Linked DNA regions of Callithrix jacchus. The protein of the gene in region 2 interacts with the protein of the main gene of each other region in a pairwise test. Links are inferred from orthologs where the notes say so. Each region holds a gene or a part of one and is shown on either strand. Other genes may lie near its edges. The genes, in order: BNIP3L and LDLRAD1.

Region 1 (9,448 bases), on a different chromosome or scaffold from region 2:
CCCTGCTGGTGTGCATTTCCACATCAAACATGATCTGCCCATCTTCTTGTGGCGAAGGGCTAGAAGAGAAAAAATTTAGCTATTACTTTTAATTCTCATTTTGTCACACTTGACACTTAGTCTCTACCAGAAATAAGAAAATTAAAAATTACAGCAGTATGGCTTTGAAAAAGCAAATCAGAAAATTTATCATAACCCCATACAAGAAAATTTTATGAAACATTAAAGGGCCAAATGAAATTGAGCATTTTACACCTAGAATGTTCTGTCCTTTTTCAGTAGTAATGAATTCCTTCAAAATGATAAATGTGCAAAGGAAATACTACTTACAGACACAAACTGTCACATTTTCTTATATCTACTCTTTGGTCCATTAAAGGTAAAATAATCTTCAAATTCGGGAATTTTAGAGTTCCTTTTCTCAAAGTTCTCTTATTAAATAATTCACCACCCGTAGTTTTCACAGTGCATAAGGTAGTTCTCAAAGATGTTTTCAGAGGGTTTTCGAGGTTAGAGTTCCTTTTGTAATACTAGTAGGATTTGTTTGCCTTTTTCATTCTCATTCTCCCATGAGTGTCTAATGGAATTTTCCGAAGGCTATACAGTATGTGATAGTACAACAGGTAGAACGCAGAAGCGGATGAGAGCCGGTTGTTCTCTAATAGGCTTGGTATTAGAGATTTGTAAACGTGTAAAACAATGCCACTATTCTTATTAACTTGGGGGGACTTATAGAAGATAGTTATTTTCACTAAAAAAGCTTATCTATGTTAGAATGTATTATTTTTGAATATGTACTTTCTCAGTGTTAGTTTCTAATATAGTAAATATCAAAATATATAAACCCACAAGCAAGTCCTTTGGGGTCCCTAATTATTTTTAAGAATGTAAAAGTATATAAAGACCAACAACTTTGATAACCACTATTTTACTTATTTCAGAAATATTTGCTTTATTTGAGACTGAATTATATAAGCTTATATTTGAATATACAATCTTTCTGATTGTACAAAATATATTTTTAGAACTATAAAAATTTACAGATAAGTTTTTAGACAAAAACCACATAATCACAAACTGTACTTGATATAAGAGACGAACAGAATGTGTTAAGTTAATTTCTTAGCTTTATCAATGATTCCTTGTGTAGCCACTGAAAGTCACTGGATCCCTCACTACATACACATACCCTCCCCCCAAAATCTAAAAGAGAAATAAAAAATATTTGGGGTTTAACTTGCTGAAAGGAATAGATATTAACTATTAAAGTTACCAAGAATATGTATGTATACAATGTTAATTAATGTATAGAGATGCTGGTGAGACTGACTCAGAAATAAGTAAGATCATCAGAAATTTATCAGACAAATTAGGCCTAGGAGTTTTTTCGAATGGTATAATTGACACAGGGGATTCTTAAAAGGGAAAAGCTCGTTCTGTATAAACATCATATATGTTTAGGAAATTTCTGTCTTGAACTAGCACAGGAGTCAACCAGAACTGGGCACTTCTACTGGCCTCAGTTTACTATCTTTGTGATCCTAACACCATTAGCTTCACAGCTACACATCAAGTTAAGGGTCAGCCTTACATAGCCTCGACCAGGTCAAGGCAGGCAGGGTGACAAAGTCAGGAATCCTGTGGAAGCACTGCTCTGCTTCTGCATGCTTCTTCATGCTGGCACCAGCCTTTTCTCTAAACTGTTTATTCCTCCTGAAATAATTTGGAATGCATTAGAGCTTCACCCATGACACATATTAGAATCGGCTGGGGAGTTTTAAAATATTGTGATGTCTCTACCCTGCCCTGGCAACCAAAATGAGAAATTCTTGAGATGCAGTCCATGTGCTGGCACTTTTAAAAGCTCCCTGTGTGAATCTAGGATGCCCTCAAGGCGAAAATGCCTGCGACAGGGTGGAACGCGAAGCAGAACACACTGGGTTCCCAGCTAACAACCCCTGCAGCCACACAAATATTTCTATGGAATAATTTTGCAGTAGAAAAGACTCATAAATCAGCTCTAGGACTGATATCCAACAACCCTAAAACCTTCCCCGCAACAAGAAACACTTCCCAATGACTTCAAATACAGAGACGCATGGCAATTCAAATGACATGATTTCTGAGACACTCTTCAATGGTAAAGCGTGTGAGTCAGACATCCCAGGAGAGTGCTGCTGCACACTAGAGTTCTAGGCATTCTCTGAAAGACAACCACTAATCTAGGGCCCGGAGATACATAAGATGAGGGGTAGGAAGTGTTCAAAAGCACTTGCCATGCCTCCTTTTCACATGCTTTCACAACTTAAACACGATCATGGGAGGGTGAAGTCATATTCAATCACATGTAACAGGATGAACAGACAGGTAAGCAGGTGACTTTTCTTTGCTCGATGACACCACCATGTTAACAACAGGCTAATGGACACCGTGGTGTCAATGATCAAGGCCCATGCACTGGAATGCAGAGTGAAAGCCTTGCTGACAGGCCATTAACAAGCAGAAAACTTCAGACACCCATCGGCAAGTTCCATAATATAAACATGTATCTTCATTCGGAAAGACAGACTTAATGCTGTAGCTACTGGAATCAAGGGCAAGCTGTTCAGAAGAGAGCCATCTGCTGTGTTCTGCTTATGACAAGAGCCATCCCAGGCTCTAAGAAGCACAGGGACAAGTCAGGGATGACACGGGGGTGGCGGGGGTGCATAGTGTGCCACAGAGCCAGCAAACCAGTCCCCCGGCTGCCTTGGCAACATTAGTGGATCATAAGTCCCTCGGGAAGCTGGAATATAATTTAACTGATTTCTCCTTTTCGCTTCTTCTGGTAAGTAATAATATGTGCAATATACACAATTTTTACCAAATACAAAAATGTTAAGAAGAAAAATATCCATCCTGCATCCCTAAAGATAAGCACTGTTTACATTCCTCAGCATTTCCTTAATCTGCTTCCTGTGCGTTTGCTGTATGGTTAACATCAGCTAACAGCTACTCAGAAGGTCAGCCGGTGCCCTATAATGCTAACAGTGTAGCTGTCATTGAAACAAGAATTTTGTAAATGTCACTGAATATTCAGCCCCTCTGGAAAAAAAGAAAAGCTTACACTAAAAAATAATAACCTGGTTTCATTCCAACACATATATCTCACTGTAATCTTACTCTTTCACTATAAGCAGTCTTTAATCCATGGAATGAGCTTCCTCGGGTCAAATACAGAAAAACGGTCTGAAACAAAACATCTCTGAGAAAGGAGAAGGGCCTTCAAAACTACCTTTACAGACCTTGGCTGGCGCTTCCAACTGTGCAAATATTGCTATAATGTGAATCAACCTGCAGTTCCTATGGGTCAAACATTTACTTAGTGTCTATTATGTGCCAGCACCATTACCGTGAAGCTAATAAAGATGAAACATGGTCCCTGCCCTTTGAAGCCTCAAGATCTAGAAGGGAAGACAGATATACACAGAGGTAACTAATTCAAGGCAGTCTGTGATCTGTAAAAGAGGGACTCAAAGGAAAATGGGAGAAAGATTAATTCTATGAAGTAGCATTTATGCCACTGAATTTTAAACTGATAAACTGCTAAAAATAATGTAATCTGATTAAAAAAAGTGACAATCTGGAGAAAACAGGGGGCACTGGAACACCTGTCAATTAGCTGTCTGATATAAACACAATCTATGTATCTGTGGAATATATATTACACTGCAATATATCAGGAGGCATTTTTGCTAAGTGAAGATTTAAGCAAATAAATTTTTCCTAGAGATAATGAGCCCTGTAACCCACCCGTGTCCTGAATTCCACCAAAACACGGATCTCACTTACCTGTCACAGTGAGAGCTGCCTCTTGAACTACTCTGTCCTGATTCATGTTGTGCATCCAAAAGAATCTTCTCCATGTCTCCATTGTGAATGGAGGATGAGGAAGGCACATGTTCTAGCCCCCCATTTTTCCCATTGCCATTATCATTGCCATTGCTGCTATTCATGGGTAGCTCCACCCAGGAACCTGTTGGACAAGTCAGATAAGTTAACCACAGCAGAACTGAAATCTGTCATGTGCACACAGATGTGAATATGGTGAATCCAGATAAGAATTCTGACTCTCCTCAAACGAAATGCAAAAGTATTCTGAAGAAAAGAAAGAGTAATAAAAGTCTAAACATCTATTAAGTTCTGTTCCTGAAATAGCTCATGCCATCAGCTGAGAAGAAACGGGAACTCTAAAACATCTTGGAAAATGTGTTTTTCAGCCAATTTTCTCTTTTGTTAAACCTTAGTTTATAATAACACTTTACTGAAAACTCTGAGGTTGCTTTTAAAAAAAAAATAGCTACTTTTTTACTAGACAGGCTACTTACCTTTAATATTTCAGCTGGTGTATAGATATACGCACAGAGAGACACTTTCTTCATAGTCTACCTAAGCTACTCAGCTTTATCTGATTCGTAAATGAAACAGTAAGTATTATCAATTAGAAATTTCATAAAAGGTTATCTAAGTAAGTTAGCAACTATATCCTCCTTAGTGCAAACAACGGAGAAACTCCTAGAGAGGGAACTTAAATCCAGTAGCAAACATTTCAATTTGTGCACAAATCAGGAGCATAAAATTAAGGCAGCTGGTTAACAAAACCAGGTGATAATGCGAAAAATTCAGAAAAAAGCTTTAGCTCTATCTCACTGATTCGTTTCTTCATTTCCTTTATATCACTGCTAGAAGTCTTTCTCCTTTTTTATACACTAAACATACCTTGTGAACTTGTCTTTTTTCTCTTCTCTCCCACGAGTTCCTACTTTCTAGAGTTTTCGTTAAGCCCTGTTGATTTGGGGGCAGAAACAACTGCACATTAGCTACACGCAAACACGAATGTTTTCTTGGGCAAAAAGTTGAAGGGGTGGAGCCACAGAAAAAGGGGATGTGGCACTGGTAATTCTGCATAGGTCTTGAAAATATTGGCCCAGTAAGTCTGCTAAAAGTATTAAGGTGTTTTAATTTTAATAAGAGTTGAGGCCAGGGACAGTGGTTCACACAGGTAATCCCAGCACTCTGGGAGGCTAAGGCACCAGGATTGCTCAAGTGCGGGAGTTTTACACCAGCCTTGGCAACATGGCAAGACCTTGTCTCTACAAAAGAACAGTAAGAAAATAAGTAAAAGAATTGAAATAATTGTTAACAGTAGCCAATAAAGTAACTTCACAGCAAAAAGAGATAGTGGTATATTTTGTTAATCTTTTCCTTTTTTTTTTTTTTTTTTGAGACGGAGTCTGGCTCTGTAGCCCAGGCTAGAGTGCAGTGGTGCGATCTCCGCTCACTGCAATCTCTGCCTCTGAGTCTTCGTTCAAGCAATTCTCCTGACCTCAGCCCCACAAGTAGCTGGGATGACAGGCATGCACCACGATGTCTAGCTAATTTTTGTATTTTTAGTAGAGATGGGCTTTCACCATGTTGACCAGGCTGATCTTGAACTCCTGACCTCATGTTCTGCTCACCTTGGCTTCCCAAAATGCTGGGATTACAGGCGTGAGCCACCGTGCCCAGCCTCCATTGCTTATGATAAATTTTGTTTTAGAAAATGTAACCAAGCAGCTTGGTGGGGCCACCTCTCTAAACTCCCAGCAGAAGCATTAGAAAGAGTTCCAGGGATAAATAAGGATTTCTGTCAGTAAGATGAAGCAATCATCAAAACTGGCTCAAACTCCAAAACGCACGCTAAATGTGGTGATGGCTACACCAGATCCCGAATGAACTCAACATCGCCCTCACAAGAAGGAAAGCTCGCAGGCAGACCTGGCTGGGAATCTGAACCCATTGCTTCCTGTCTACCTGTGTGACCTCAGTTTCAGCCTCCTCATTTACAAAACAGAGATAATAATAACACAGGGTTGCTGTGAGGATTTAGTAGTATCAAGTGCTGGTAAATGGAAGATACTCAGTTATACAGTAGAATTTACATTTATAAATACTTAGAACCCTTTGCTTTCCATCTGAGGCAGCCCCAGTGGCACCAATATCCCATAATCACCACCAATTCCTTAGGACTCTGCTGCCAAAGGACACAGTTCTACAACATCTCTGTGGCCTCATTCTATACACACATAAAATGGACATAGACTAGAGAGAACTCGAAATGGATCAGCAATTAAAACTAGCAAAGCTAAGAGAAATCTAACACTGAAGATAATTGAACTCACTCGAGTGCCTCTGGAGTGTATAAGAAATATGCCAAAAGCATCCCTAAATTTAGAGCTCTGCAAAATATTTCAGCTGGAGAGAAAGGAGGTGGGGGAGAGAATATGTATATGAAAAACAGTTTTTTTCTGACTCCTACTGCTTCTAGGATTTTCAAACTTATTTTTAAACCAATGGGAGCAATTCTTCTTGTGTAGAAGCCCAATGCAAACAATAAAACAAACCAGAAGCAGAGCTAAGGAACCAGGAGTTCCAGATGGGTCTCTGTGGAAGCCAGTCTTCCCTAATATACAATAAATACTCATTTGAAGTAGATGATCAAAGAGAAATAAGGGTGTAACAAAAAATATCAGGTTTTCCGGTCCTTACTTTTTTTTGAGACAGTCTTGCATTGTCACCCAGGCTGGAAGTACAGTGGCACAATCGCAGCTCACCACAGCCTGACTCCTGGGCTCAAGCAAGCCTCCTACCTCAGCCTCCCAAGAAGCTGGGACTATAGGGCACATGCAACCACGCCCCGCTAATTTATTTATTTATTTTTTTGGTAGAGATGGGGTCTTCCTACATTGCCCAGGTTGGTCTCAAACTCCCAGACTTCAGCAATCCTCCCACCTCAGCCTCCCAAAGTGCTGGGGTTACAGATTATGAGCCACTCCCAGCCTGGTTTTTACTTTTATGAAGGACTTTCAAATCAATGCCTGGATTCTATTTTCTTCATTAAAAATGCATAAGCAATCATAATCTAAAATATACTTTAGAAACCCGAACAAAGAGACATACCTAGAAAAGCTCAGTAAAAGTGATCTCTGCTGTGGCCTCCACACCCTGTGGTGTAACTGAAAGCATTTCTACTTAAGACAGACAATTTGTACTTGCCATATACTGGTCTACTGTGGTCAGGGGCAGAACTGAAGCCAGGCTTCCACTCTCAGTCAAAGCTGTCACCCTTGCACAGGGTACTTATAGCCTCACTTTCCCCATCTATAAAACAGATAACTGTATCTACCTCGAAGACTTTGTTAGGAGGATTACATGAATAAAGCATGCAGAACAGTAAGAAAGCTCCCTAGGAAAGTTTTAGCTACTATAATTATATTCTGTATCATATCAAAACCGTTCCTTACTGCAAACATATGTTCTTAGAAAATGTAAACAATCAGCACCTAAAATTTACAATCACCGTTTCTCCTCACCTCCCATTCCTACACCCAAAGGAGTCACTTTTGAGTTTCACATGGAGATTTTGATTTTTTTTTCAATGAAACATGTCTGTTTTCATAAAGAAATGAAACTGTACCATACACACGTACTTACATAATCTGTAAGTCGTTTTTCAGATGTCTTCCCTATCAGTACACACTGACATTAATTCTTCTGAACAACGGCACTGCATCTCACCTTTGATGAGGATATACCGTCCTTTCACCATTATCTAAATGGCAATGGTCACCCCTACTCAGATGCTTGTTTCTAATACTTTGTTGTTACAAGCAGCGCTTCAGTGAACATTCTGGAGAATAATTTGACAATAGGTATTAAGAGCCTTAAAAGGGTAATTTCCTTTAACTCGGTAATTTGCTTCCAAAAATATCATCTATGGAAATACATAGTGCAGAGAAAGTTATGTGCATAGGCATTGAGAGGCTACATATTAATCTTTTGAGTAATACACAGAAGAGCAAAACAGATGAACAACATGTCTTTGTCTCATCACCTGATTCGTTCCTGATTTACAAACTCAGAACTTCTTAGTGTTCTAACTCTACCAACCCTCACAAAGTCCAGTTTTACTTGGAAAGGAAGCAATGCTAGATAAGAGGTTTGTGCTGTCCAAGCGATACAAAGTAGAAAACCACAGAGTGAATTCCCTTCCTAACAATCAAGCTTGAAGACTAAAAGCTGGAAGCTTCTCTATGATTTAGACTTTACAAACGAAGTAAGAGCCGTTCCTTATGCTAATTTGCACAAAATATGCAGTGGCATGAGATATTTTCTGGTTTGGGTTTTAGGGAATGACTAAGAGAATGCTTCTCCATTCTCTAACGTAACAGATTGTGAAGGGTGGTTTAGTAATTGTGATTACATTCATTAATGTATGTTGCATCATCTTTACAGTTTTATAATCACTAGTTCAGTCCTCTTGCAATAAGGGGAGGAGAGGAGCTTTGGGACACGAGGAGGAGAAAATGAAGAGTTTTTCTCCTCAATTTCCCCCCTAACTTTTCAAGGCCCACATAGAACTCTTTTCATATTTCATTATATTTACATTCTTTCCTCAAAGCCTTTCATTCATTATTGAAAGGAATCCAGACCAGGCCAACAAGAGTCACTGACATTCTTCTAAAAAAAAAAAAAATGTTGGTCTTTTTGTAGAAGTATTTACACACAAGTTACATAGGTATTCAAAACATTGTTACGAGGCAGGGACACTTCATGAAGGCCTTAAGAGTACTCTTGATAACAGGAAAGCAGGCACATGATGGTTGAAGATTTATTTAAAAAAAGAAAAAAAGAGTTTGTGACCAGCCTGGGCAACAAAGCAAAACTCAATCTCTACAAAAAATAAGTTAGCCAGTGACCAACCTGGCCAACAAAGTGAAACTCCATCTCTACAAGAAATAAAATAATTAGCTGGGTGTGGGGGCGTGCACCTATACTCCTCGCTACCTGCTCACTTGAGCCCAGGTAGTAGAAGCTGCAATCAGCTATGACTGCATCACTGCATTCCAGCCTGGGTGACAGAGCAAGACTCTATCTCAAAAATAAAAATAAAAACAAGGAAAGAAAAAAAGGCTATATGTCTCAACAAGAATTATACTACTGCTTTGATTTTCCTTACTCACTGAATCTTATTCAAATACTCTTAAGGAAGTTAACAGTTAATAATTCTTTTTTTTTTTTTAAACAGTTAAGAATTCTTAATAAAACAAACTGGACAACAACCTTTTGACTTGGCAAGAGTTTGGGTATCTGCCCTGTAATTTGTAATGAAAGTGAACAGTCTCTTCATAACGGTAAACTTATAAAAAAAAAATCACAGAAATACTTCACTATTCAAATATTTCAATAATTTGCTATTGAAACTCTGCTTTGACCCCTGAACCAAAGATACAATCCCAAACCCAAGATAATCTGTACATTTCATCTCCTGTTTTCAGTTGTGCAACTTTACCCAACAAAATACTTCGACTTATCAGCAATTTGGACAGTACTAGATGCCCAAGTTGTTTTGCCCAGTACCCAAAAATCA
Region 2 (10,222 bases):
GGAAGTTGTTTAATGCAGCACAAGCCCTTAATTTTCATGGTATAACCATCCCAACAACTGCCTCCTACTAGGACAAGAACAGGCAATGAAAGCCCCTGCTGTCAGTTCTGCCTAACCAGAGAGAGAGCAGACGGTAGAGGCGGGGACAACGTGCGCCCAGCGTCTGAACAGTGCCCTTCAGGAGCTGTTGCTGGGACACACCAGGTTGGCAGCCTGGGGCCTCTACCTTAGGCAAGAGAGAAAGTGAGGCTAAAAATAATTGGTGCTGCACATGCCGATGTTCCTGAAGTCATCTGCTGCGGCGGAAGGCACGCTCGCTGTGCTAGGGCACTGACCACTGTATGGCCTTGGGCAAGTCTCCTCTTCTCTCCAGACCTTAGTTCCCCCTTCTGTAAAATGAGGTCATTGTGCTCCCTGAGCCTGAGGTCCCTTTGGTTCTGCTGATTCAAGTTCTGAGTTTCCCTGAGGGACTCTGGCAGCCCTGTTTTCACTCTTCTCAGTTTCCTCTGCTAACTCTCACATGGGCATTGCCTTAAGCTGCTGCTAGAACTCTCTATCCAGCACTCACCATTCTCCTTGCTTTATTTATTTATTTCTTTAGAGACAGTCTCGCTCTGTCACCCAGGCTGGAGTACAGTGGCACAATCTCAGCTCACTGCAGCTTCCACCTCCCAGGTTCAAGCAATTCTCCCACCTCAGCCTCCCAAGCAGCTGGTATTACAGGCATGCGCCACCACGCCCAGCTAATTTTTGTATTTTTAGTAGAGACAGGGTTTCACCATGTTGGCCAGGCTGGTCTTGAGCTCCTGACCTCAAGTGATCCACCCACCTCAGCCTCCCAAAGTGCTGGCATTACAGGTGCAATCCACAGCATCCAGCCTTTCCCTGCTTTAGAAAGAGACGCATCTGAGGTTAAGCAAAAGAGGACTGCAAATCCTCACAGCGGTGAGCCACTGATGGTATTTCAGTTGTCAGGCTGGTGGAAGTCAGTAAGACTGATGGTACTAAATGTCAACAGAGATGTAATCAACAGAAACTCATCCACAACGGAAGGAGTGTGAATCAACTCTGTAGGTCCACAGGCTTGGAGTCAAAATGGACCTGGGTTGAAATCTCGGCTCTGCCGTTTACTCACTGTGTGGCTTTGGGCAAGTTACTTAATCTCTGAACCCAGTTTCCACATCTGTTAACTGGGTGTAATAATATTACTGTGGGAAGTAGAAAACTTCCTCTTCAAAGTTTCCTCTCTTTTTAAAGAATAAATCATAAGTGTCAGCAATAATAATTTGTTTTAAAGACTTTCTTCAAAGCCTTCTTGCTTTTTGCTAATAACTCTTTGTTAAGCCTTATCCTATGTAGCCGTTAGACATGCTCACAGGCACATAGTACATTCTATGTCCTTGTAATTTAACCAAGATGTTTATGCTATTATTTTTCTAAGTCCTTTCACAAGCAACTTCTTGTCCTTTCCTTATTTAGACTTCCTCTTTTCCTTTTGTTCTCCATGGCCTTTACCTACTCAAGAACGTTTTAAGTTAGTAGCCAATCAGGTTCAGGTTTAGACTGTGAAGTCTGGCTCCAGCCAATGGAAATCAGACACAGCAATAAGGACAATCCCAATTGCGTAAAGGATAAATATGTCTGCTTTTTCTTTGTTGATAGTACTCTCATGGCAAGACTGCTGGCCGAGTTACCCTTTCTCCAGTAAGTAAAGATTGCTGAGAGATCCTTTGTCCCAGTGCTGACTTTTCCTTGCAGCACCAAGCATCTGTTTCCAGCAATTACCTATCTTACAGAGTTGTGAGGATCAAGGCAGCTGGTGTAGTGCTTGAAGCATAGCAGCTGATCAATAAGTAATAGCTACCTCCCTTCCATCCATTCCTTCCCCTTGAGAGTGAGACTGTGAACCACAGGGGATATGATTCCAAGACGTTCAGGGATTGAAGCACCAGGGCCTCTCCCTCATCTCACCGGGCCCCCTGCTGCCCTTCCCTCAAGGGTTCTTGGTGGCAGCTTGAACCCTGGAGAGACACAGTGCTTTCAGCACAGTTTTATGTGGCTGTACCTGGATTCAATGGATAAAAAGGCATTTCACAGCCCTGAGGAGTCTTTTTATAAAGGAACACTTAAGAATCAGAGTCAAGGAAGGCCAGAGGCTGAAGGGCATTAATAGGTCCTGGAATGGCAAATGGTCATCATGTCTGATACCTCTCTTCACTCTTCCACCCATGGCAGGCATCTATAGTCAGTCACAGTCCTGACCTCAGAATCCTTCTGAGCTGCATGTTCCAGAGAGCTTTTTCCAATCAATTGTAGTTGGCATGCCAAATAAAATCTAGTTAGTGTCTTTAGCAGGGACCATGGGTGCCTGCCCATGCTTTCAACCCTTTCCATTTCAGGACATAGCAGCCTAATGTGCAGCGGGCAAGCTGCCAACACTGGCATCTCCTTGCCTAAGGCAGCCCAGTGCAAGGAATTAACACCCTCTGGCTAGTCTTCTTTTTTTTTCTTTTGAGACTGAGTTTCGCTCTTGATGCTCAGGCTGGAGTGCAATCTTGGCTCACTGCAACTTCTGCCTCCCAGGTTCAAGCGATTCTCCTGCCTCAGTCTCCTGAGGGATGATGGGCACTGCCACCACGCCTGGCTAATTTTTTGTATTTTTAGTAGAGACAGGGTTTCACCACGTTGGCCAGGCTGGTCTCGAACTCCCAGGTGACCCACCTGCCTGGCCTCCCAAAGTGCTGGGATTACAGGTGTGAGCCACCATGCCTGGCCTCCTCTGGCCATTCTCAACCAAGACTGGCAGGAGCTGGCAGATTAATACCCCAGTTCCCCCCACCTTGAGAGGGATCACTGAGGTGCATCTTTGCCCCTGGCTTCCCCGAGGGCCCCAACAGGGCTGAACTCCACTTGCCCACAGCAGGAACCTGCGTTTAAGGATCCTTCTCTTTCCAGTCTCATTTCCCTCATTCCCCGACCACTGTTTCCTGGGATCACTCCCAGTTAAATCTACTTGCCCTCGAATATTGTCTTAGAGTCTGATTCTGGGGAATCCTAAACTAAAACACCCCCTTCATCTGGTTTATATCTTCATTTTATGGATGAAGGATCGGAGGCACAGGAAGGGGAGTGAATTGCCCAAGTCAGAGCCAGTGGTAGGGCCCTACTGAGAGCCCCGTTCTCCTGGTCTAGGTGTCAGCTCTGCGCAGTGTTACTTGCTGCCTCCCAAGGGCTGCCCCTGCACCTGCCCCTCCTACTTGCACCCACATGGATTCAGCATTTTATTTCCCAAAGCAAAAGAAAAGGCTGATTGCAGGTTGGAAAATCTATGGGCGTCAGAGGCAGGTGAAAGGGGATCCTCCCTAGAACTCTTGAGCTCATTTCTGGAGGTAGCCATCTCTCCTTTCTTGGTCTGGGTCATTGGACTTGGCCCTCAAGCTTCCAGGTTTACTCAGCAGTGGGACAGGCTGCTAGGGAAACCCACTCACTGGGAGCGTAGAAGGGGTTATTCAGGCAAGCAACCAGCCCCCCTCCTCTTCCCTACTTCGGGTGCCACCTCAGGGACAGTAAAAATTCACATTGCCACACTTCTAAAGAAAATAATTTAAAGTTATATTTGCTTTATACTTTTAGCGGAAAGTGCATATTCTTTCAATCTGGATTACCTGTGTTGTTTAACAGAAAGAACAGCAATGAGAAAATGACCCCTGCTTTCTAGCCACTGAAATGTTAATTCCGGGAGTTTCTACCTGCATCTTCATCCCCCTGGAACCAGAGCTCCTCCGGTTCTCTCGCTGATGCGGAGGAAAAAGCACTCTTGAAAAGTTTCTGGGTTTCACCCCTCCCACCTACTGTGCGACCTGGGGCAGTTTCTCCCTTTCTGAACCTCTGGCTCTTCATCTGTGGATGGGGATGAGGATTCCAGCCTCGCAGTGTTGCTGTCAGACGGCAGAGAAGGAAACAGCCTGGCCAGAGCAGGGCCCTCTTGCCCTTGCCTCTGCTTGGAAGGCAGCTGGGAGGGAGGGGGCTGCCCACAGGGAGGGTGTGGCCCAGGCAAAGCTCCTGCCTGTCCCTCCTCCAGGCTGCCCCTGGTGACAAGGCAGGGAACCCATGCTGAGCTCTCTGCACACAGCCCCAGTCAGGGAGCTGAAAGCCGAAGACATGAACAAGGTCTTCCCCGAGGTAAGGGCTGCCTGGACCAGGCTCCTGATCTTGGGAGAGCAAACCTTGGGATGAGGAGTGTGGGCAGTAGAGAGTGGGCATACATGGGAGACATGGAGGAAAATCAGCCCCCGTCCTGGCCCGGGGCTCACTCCCAGGGTGTAGGGGGCCCTACCAGTGACCCAGCTGTAGAGTCCAGGTGGCAAGTGCTGGGACGGACACAGAGGAGCCGGGTGGACAGGAAGGGAGAGCGTTAGCTTTACTGGGTATCAGGGAAAGCTTCACCGAGGAGTCGCTGCCCACGCCAGTTTGAAGGATGAATATTTGCCAGGTGGACAGCAGAGGAAAAGGCGCCCCAGACAGAGGGCCCAGTGCAGGCAAAGGTGTGGAAATGGGAAGCCGGCATGAGGCATCTGGGGCGTTGAGCGTGCTGGGGTGTGAGGGAGCCACGGTGCCACCGAAGACTCTCGGTGACCCCTTCTGAAAGCCCTGCTGTCTGCCTCCCTGAGGCTGGACCTCACCTCACCTAAGCCCACCCCTCACTCTGTTCTCTTGGGCAGGGAGAGAATGGCCGCATTGCTGCTGGACCCAAGGCCCTCCCTGGAGGGGAAGGTAAAGAACTGAAGGGCCCAGGGCCAGTGCCCTGTGGGGCTCCCTTGAAGCTGGCAGTTGGCTATAGAGGCATGAGGAAGGTTGGAGGATTCCAGGCTCCCGCTGCCCCTCAGACCTCTGCCCCATGTTAATGTTGTCTGCTCCCAGCTTCCTGGTCAGATGCTGACAGTCACTTGCTTAATAGGGTTATTCATTCTCTCCATGCACACATATTTATTAAGCACCTACTGTGTGCTGCCGACCTCACAGGCACCAAACTGCATTCAGTGCCCACCTGTAATACAGCATCAAACTGACTCAGTGGGTGACCTGGACAATTCTCTTTACCTCTGAGACACATTTATTTAGCCCTACTATGTGCCGCTGGCCCACAGTGTGACCAGAACAGTTCTCTTTACCCTTCTGAAGATAGAAGGAAGAAACAGACATGTATTGAGCATTGTATATGCCCTGGCGTGGCCCACATTTGATCAATGAGGAGACACACCCAGAGAGGTAGATGAAAATACCAACTATAAAGGACCCAGTACAGTTATGTGCCTGGCACTGCATGGCCCCTTTAATCCCCAGGACAGCTCTGAGACAGGGGCTCTGTCATGGGGCAATCACAGATAAGGCAGCTGAAACTAAGAGAAGTTGGGTAACCAGGCCAAGGTCATACAGCGGGGAGGCCGGAGGGCCAGGGTTCAAATGTGAACTGAGGTCTCTCTGGTTACAAAGCCCCAGGGCTTTTGTTGCCGCATACCGGTGTTTGTTTTTTTCCAAGTCCTGACTCATGACGGGTGTGGTTGTGGCAAGAATAGCCTCCTTTTCCTCATCTGTGCAGGGAAGGGACTGGCACCTAAGGGCTTTCTGGCTTTGAAGCGCAACAGCTTCACCTGGGCAGGAGCCTTGGTTCTGCCGGTTCTCCCGTGGCAACATCTTGCACGTGGTCTGTGCTGCACAAATATTTGAGGAGCTGCTTGGCTGACCAGCACACCTCTCCCTGCCCAGAGTCACGCTGCCTCCCTGGTTACCTGAGTTTACCCTGTTTGCTGACGGCCACAGAGCCACCAGCTAGGGCTGTAGGGATGACGGGGTTTTAGATTCCTGCTGCCTTGAATACCATCGTATCCCTCCCAGCGCACATCCATCCTGGAGCCCCGCCACGCCAGGCCACTTGTGCTCCCCCACCTGCAACCACCAGACCTTTCCACTTGCCACGCCCTCTGCCTGGAAGCCCCTTTCTTTGCACCATTCCCTTACCTGCCTGTGGAAATCCCACCCGGCTTCTGAGGACCCTGCATCAGAAATGTGAATGGATTGAAAATAACTGACCCATAGTGGGGGCCTTCCCTTGTCTCCTGGACCCCTGGGCTAGCATATTCACAGAGTGTTCACAAATCTCTGGGCCTGGCACGGTGGCTCACACCGGTAATCCCAGCACTTTGGGAGGCCAAGGTAGGTGACCACCTGAGGTCAGGAGTTGGAGACCAGCCTAGCCAACAGGGTGAAACCCCATCTCTACTGAAAATACAAAACTTGGCCAGATGTGGTGGCAGCCACCTGTTATCCCAGCTACTTGGGGGGCTGAGGCAAGAGAATCTCCTGAACCTGGGAGGCAGAGGTTGCAGTGAGCCGAGATCATGCCACCGCATTTCAGCCTGAGCAATAGAACGAGACTCCATCTCAAAAAAAAAGAACCCCCCCGCAAAAAAAAAGCTCCCACCATGTGCCTGGCTCTGGGCTGGGTCCTGGGGTCACAGGGTGAATCATACCTGCCCCTGCCCCTTTCTCTGAGGTACCTGTGGCCTGGGCAGGTCAGTAGCTCCCACGCTCCTTCAGACATGTCCATGCTTTGCCTTCTAAGTGCAATAACAAGCTGCAGAGGGCAAGGACCAGAGCTGGAGCCACACAGCGGGGCACCAGGAGGTCCTTAGTAAAGGCTTCTGTTATTATTTTGTAAGCAGGAGAGAATTAAAGTACAGTTTTACAAGAGCAGGGACATCCCCTATCACTGTGATTTCCAGTGCTTAGAATAAAGCTTGGCACGTGGCAAGTCCTCAACAAGCAATAACAGCCCAGACACAGCAGTGCGCAGCTGTTACAGGACTTTGGGAGGCCGAGGCAGGAGGACTGTTTGAGCCCAGGACTTAGAGTGTGCAGTGAACTATGATTGCACCACTGCATTCCAGCCTGGGCAACAGAGCCGGACCCTATCTCTAAAATTAAAAAAAAATTTTTTTAAGCAATAATAATAGCTCATATTCATCATTTACTATGTGCCAAGCACTGTTCTAACACATTAACTCAACAAATTCTAATCCTTTCAGCAAACTTTAAGGTAGCTATTACGGTCCCCATTTCCCACATGAAGCAACTGAAGTGCAGAGAAGTGAAGTGACTTACTCAGTGTGGCTCAGGTAGGAACTGGTGGAACTGGGATTCCAACCTGCATCCCAGCAGACTCCAGAACGGACAGTCAGTGGGGATTGTGGAAAGGGCATGCGTTGTGGCATCACACAGGTGTGGATTCACATGCCAGCTCCACCCTGGGTTACCTGAACCTTTTCTTTTCTGAGCCCCAGTTTCCTCATAGATCAAATAAAAGGTTGTTTTGAAAAATAAAGACCACAGTTATGAAGGGCCTGATGGAGCGTCTGCCCCGTGGTGGGGGCTGGACATGCAGGCGTCCATCTCTCCCTGCGTCCTGAGGAGGTCTCCTGATGGCGAGTGGGCGGGGAGAGCTGTCCACCTCTGCCATTCAGTTAGCTGTGGGCATCTGGCCAGGGTGGCACCTAGTGGGGTGGGCCCACAGGCAGAACAAAGAGCATCAAGCGGGGCTTGGGAGCTGCTCCTCCAGGGAAGCCCTCCCAGCTCTGCTCACCCTGGTGGGGGAAGGGCTGCTCACAGGGGCAGGACAGGGAGGGGGTTCACTGTTCCCAGTTCTGGCCCCCCCATCACGACCCCCCCCCCGGGCTTGTTTCCCTCCCTGTTCCCCGCAGCAGGCTGCGGCCCCCTCTGCTGCTCGCGCCGCGGGGCCTGCCTCTCTGCCTTTCTGCTGCTCCTCCTGGCAACTCTGGCCGCCCTCATCGCCTTGGTCACCACACTCGGACTCCCATCACGAACCCCAGGTCAGAGCGGCCAAGAGAGGGTGGGTCAGACCCAGCAGGGAGGATATGGGGGACACAGAGAGACCTGCCTGGCTTCTCCACCAGGTGACTTATGACAAATTCCTTAAGGTGCATGCACAGACAACACAGATACCTGCACACTGACTATGCCGATCTCTTAGCCTCCATCTGCACATCTGTGACATGATTATTGAGAGGACCCAGCTCTGATGTCACCTCCTCCAGGATGCCTTCCTGGACCCCCAGGCTGGGTTAGGAACCTCTTCTCAGCCCCACAGTCCCTACACTTCCCCATCATCCCCTGGCCTGGCCATCCCGGGTGGGGCTATCCATCTGTGGGTTCATTTTCACCACAGGGAGACAGGGTCACCTCCCACACATGCCTGCAGCCCCAGCTCCGGGGTGAAAGATCGGGACACAGTGCCTGCCCTCATGGAGCTAACTCTTTGGAGAGCAATCTAGACATGAATACATGTTACAGCAGGGTTCTGGGAGCCCTGAGAGTCTAGCCCCATCAAGGAGTCAGGATAGGCACAATGGGTACTAGTTGTAGGGGGATGCCAGGAAAAGCATCCCAGGCACAGGGAATGCATGTGTGGAGCCCTAAGGGGTGGGAGGAGCAGGAGGAGAAGGAGGGACTGCAAGAGGCCAGCGAACAGGAAGGGCTGGAGTGACAAGTGGGGCCGGGTGCCAAGGGCCTCACAGGCTGCACCAGGAAGCGAGGTCACAGTCCAGGAGCCACAGAAAGGGGAGGAAGGCGGGGACAAGTGTCACCAGGTGAATCTTTCTGAAGGATGGCTCTGCCGCTGGGCAGGGTGGGTTAGAGGGCTGAGGTGGGGGCTGAGATTCACAGTGCTCTACCTGCTGGTGCAGGAACACAGGCCCTGAACTGGATGCGAATGCATGAGCAGCTGCGGTCCTGAGTTTGTGTGTGCACTCTGTGTGTTTAGCATGTCTGTGAGTAGATGCAGGTGTCTGTGTATGGATGTTCGTGTCTATGTGAGAGTGTGTGTGTCGGTGTGTGTGTGCATATCTGCTGTCTGTGTATCTGTGAGTGTGCATGTAGGTGCAGCTGTCTGTGTGCGAGCATGTGTGCATGTGTGTGCATCTGTGTGTGTCTGTGTCAACATGAGTGCCCCTGGGAGTTGCCCCCTTCACACACACACACGCACACTAGCTGAGGCAGCCCAGGGGCTGAGATGTGATTCACACATGCGCAAACACAAATGCGCAAACCAACTTCCAACCCCAATTATGCACACGTATACAGATGCGGGGCCAAGGTGTTCCCCCACCCCTAACTTGTCTGCAGGGTTTTTCTTTCTTTCTTTCTTTTTTTTTTTTTTTTTGAGATGGGGTCTTGCTTTGTTGCCCAGGCTGGAGTGATATGGCACAATCTCAGATCGCTGCAACCTCTGCTTCAAGGGTTCAAGTGATTCTCCTGCCTCAGCCTCCCGAGTAGCTAGGACTACAGGCATGCACCACCATGCCCAGCTAATTTTGTATTTTTAGTAGAGATGGGGTTTGTCCATGTTGGTCAGGCTGGTCTCAAACTCCCGACCTGAGGTGATCTGCCCACCTTGGCCTCCCAAAGTGCCGGGATTACAGGCGTGAGCCACAACACCCGGCCAGTTTTCTGTCTTTTCATTCCTTGGGGCAGTCCTAAGAGTGGGTATTCCTTTCCTGCTCCCATATTGGCGGGGGGGGGGGGGTGCTAATGAGAACGTGGTCTCAGGGGTGTTTGGGGAACTATAGAATAAAGATGTGGAAGTGCTCTGCAGATGTGCCCAGATAGAAGGAGTGGTGACGTATGGTCCTCCAGCCAGCCCAAATATAGTTCTTCTGACACTAACCTGGTGCCAGAGCCTCCGCCATTAAAACCACATCACTGAATGGAACATTGTCCTCAGAAGCTTCCTGTGACACTGCATAGAAGTTTTCAGTAAAGGAGAGAACTATTCCTCTCCGCCCACCCCCACTTCCTGAGAACCATTACTTGTTGTGCACATTTCCTGTTCTATGTTTCTTCACAGGGATGCTTTGATTTATTCCCCACAACAGTCACTCAGTGTGTGTGCTATGATCCCCACGTTGCAGTCAACCTGAGTTGTCAGGTCACCTGCCCAAGGTCGGGCAAAGGGCGGGGCTAGAGCTGGGGCTTGAACCCCATTGACGGTGCTGGGTCCATCCTCCCCACTGCCCGGCCCCTCAGGCCAGCTCCACGTGCACCTCAGGTGAGGAAGGTTTGTCCTTGTGAGCACCACCCTTGACCCTCCAGGGCCTTCCCCTGCCCATTCAGGAGCCCAAGCTTGTACAACACTGACAAACAGGACGGG

Evidence for each region.
Region 1: the proteins of LDLRAD1 (region 2) and BNIP3L interact in binary tests that used the Homo sapiens proteins (3 or more experiments, as listed by UniProt). The two-hybrid records come from large-scale screens. The link is inferred for Callithrix jacchus from reciprocal best matches to the Homo sapiens genes LDLRAD1 and BNIP3L.

The regions. Positions count from the first base shown.
Region 1 is NC_133514.1:15,166,743-15,176,190, forward strand, and holds part of BNIP3L (BCL2/adenovirus E1B 19 kDa protein-interacting protein 3-like), read right to left. Parts: intron 7,709-9,448; exon of another isoform or gene 7,513-7,708; intron 7,180-7,512; exon of another isoform or gene 7,075-7,179; intron 4,825-7,074; exon of another isoform or gene 4,759-4,824; intron 4,016-4,758; coding exon 3,832-4,015; intron 60-3,831; coding exon 1-59.
Region 2 is NC_133508.1:91,202,955-91,213,176, reverse strand, and holds the start of LDLRAD1 (low-density lipoprotein receptor class A domain-containing protein 1), read left to right. Parts: upstream 1-4,124; 5' UTR 4,125-4,161; coding exon 4,162-4,182; intron 4,183-4,721; coding exon 4,722-4,773; intron 4,774-7,757; coding exon 7,758-7,886; intron 7,887-10,185; coding exon 10,186-10,222.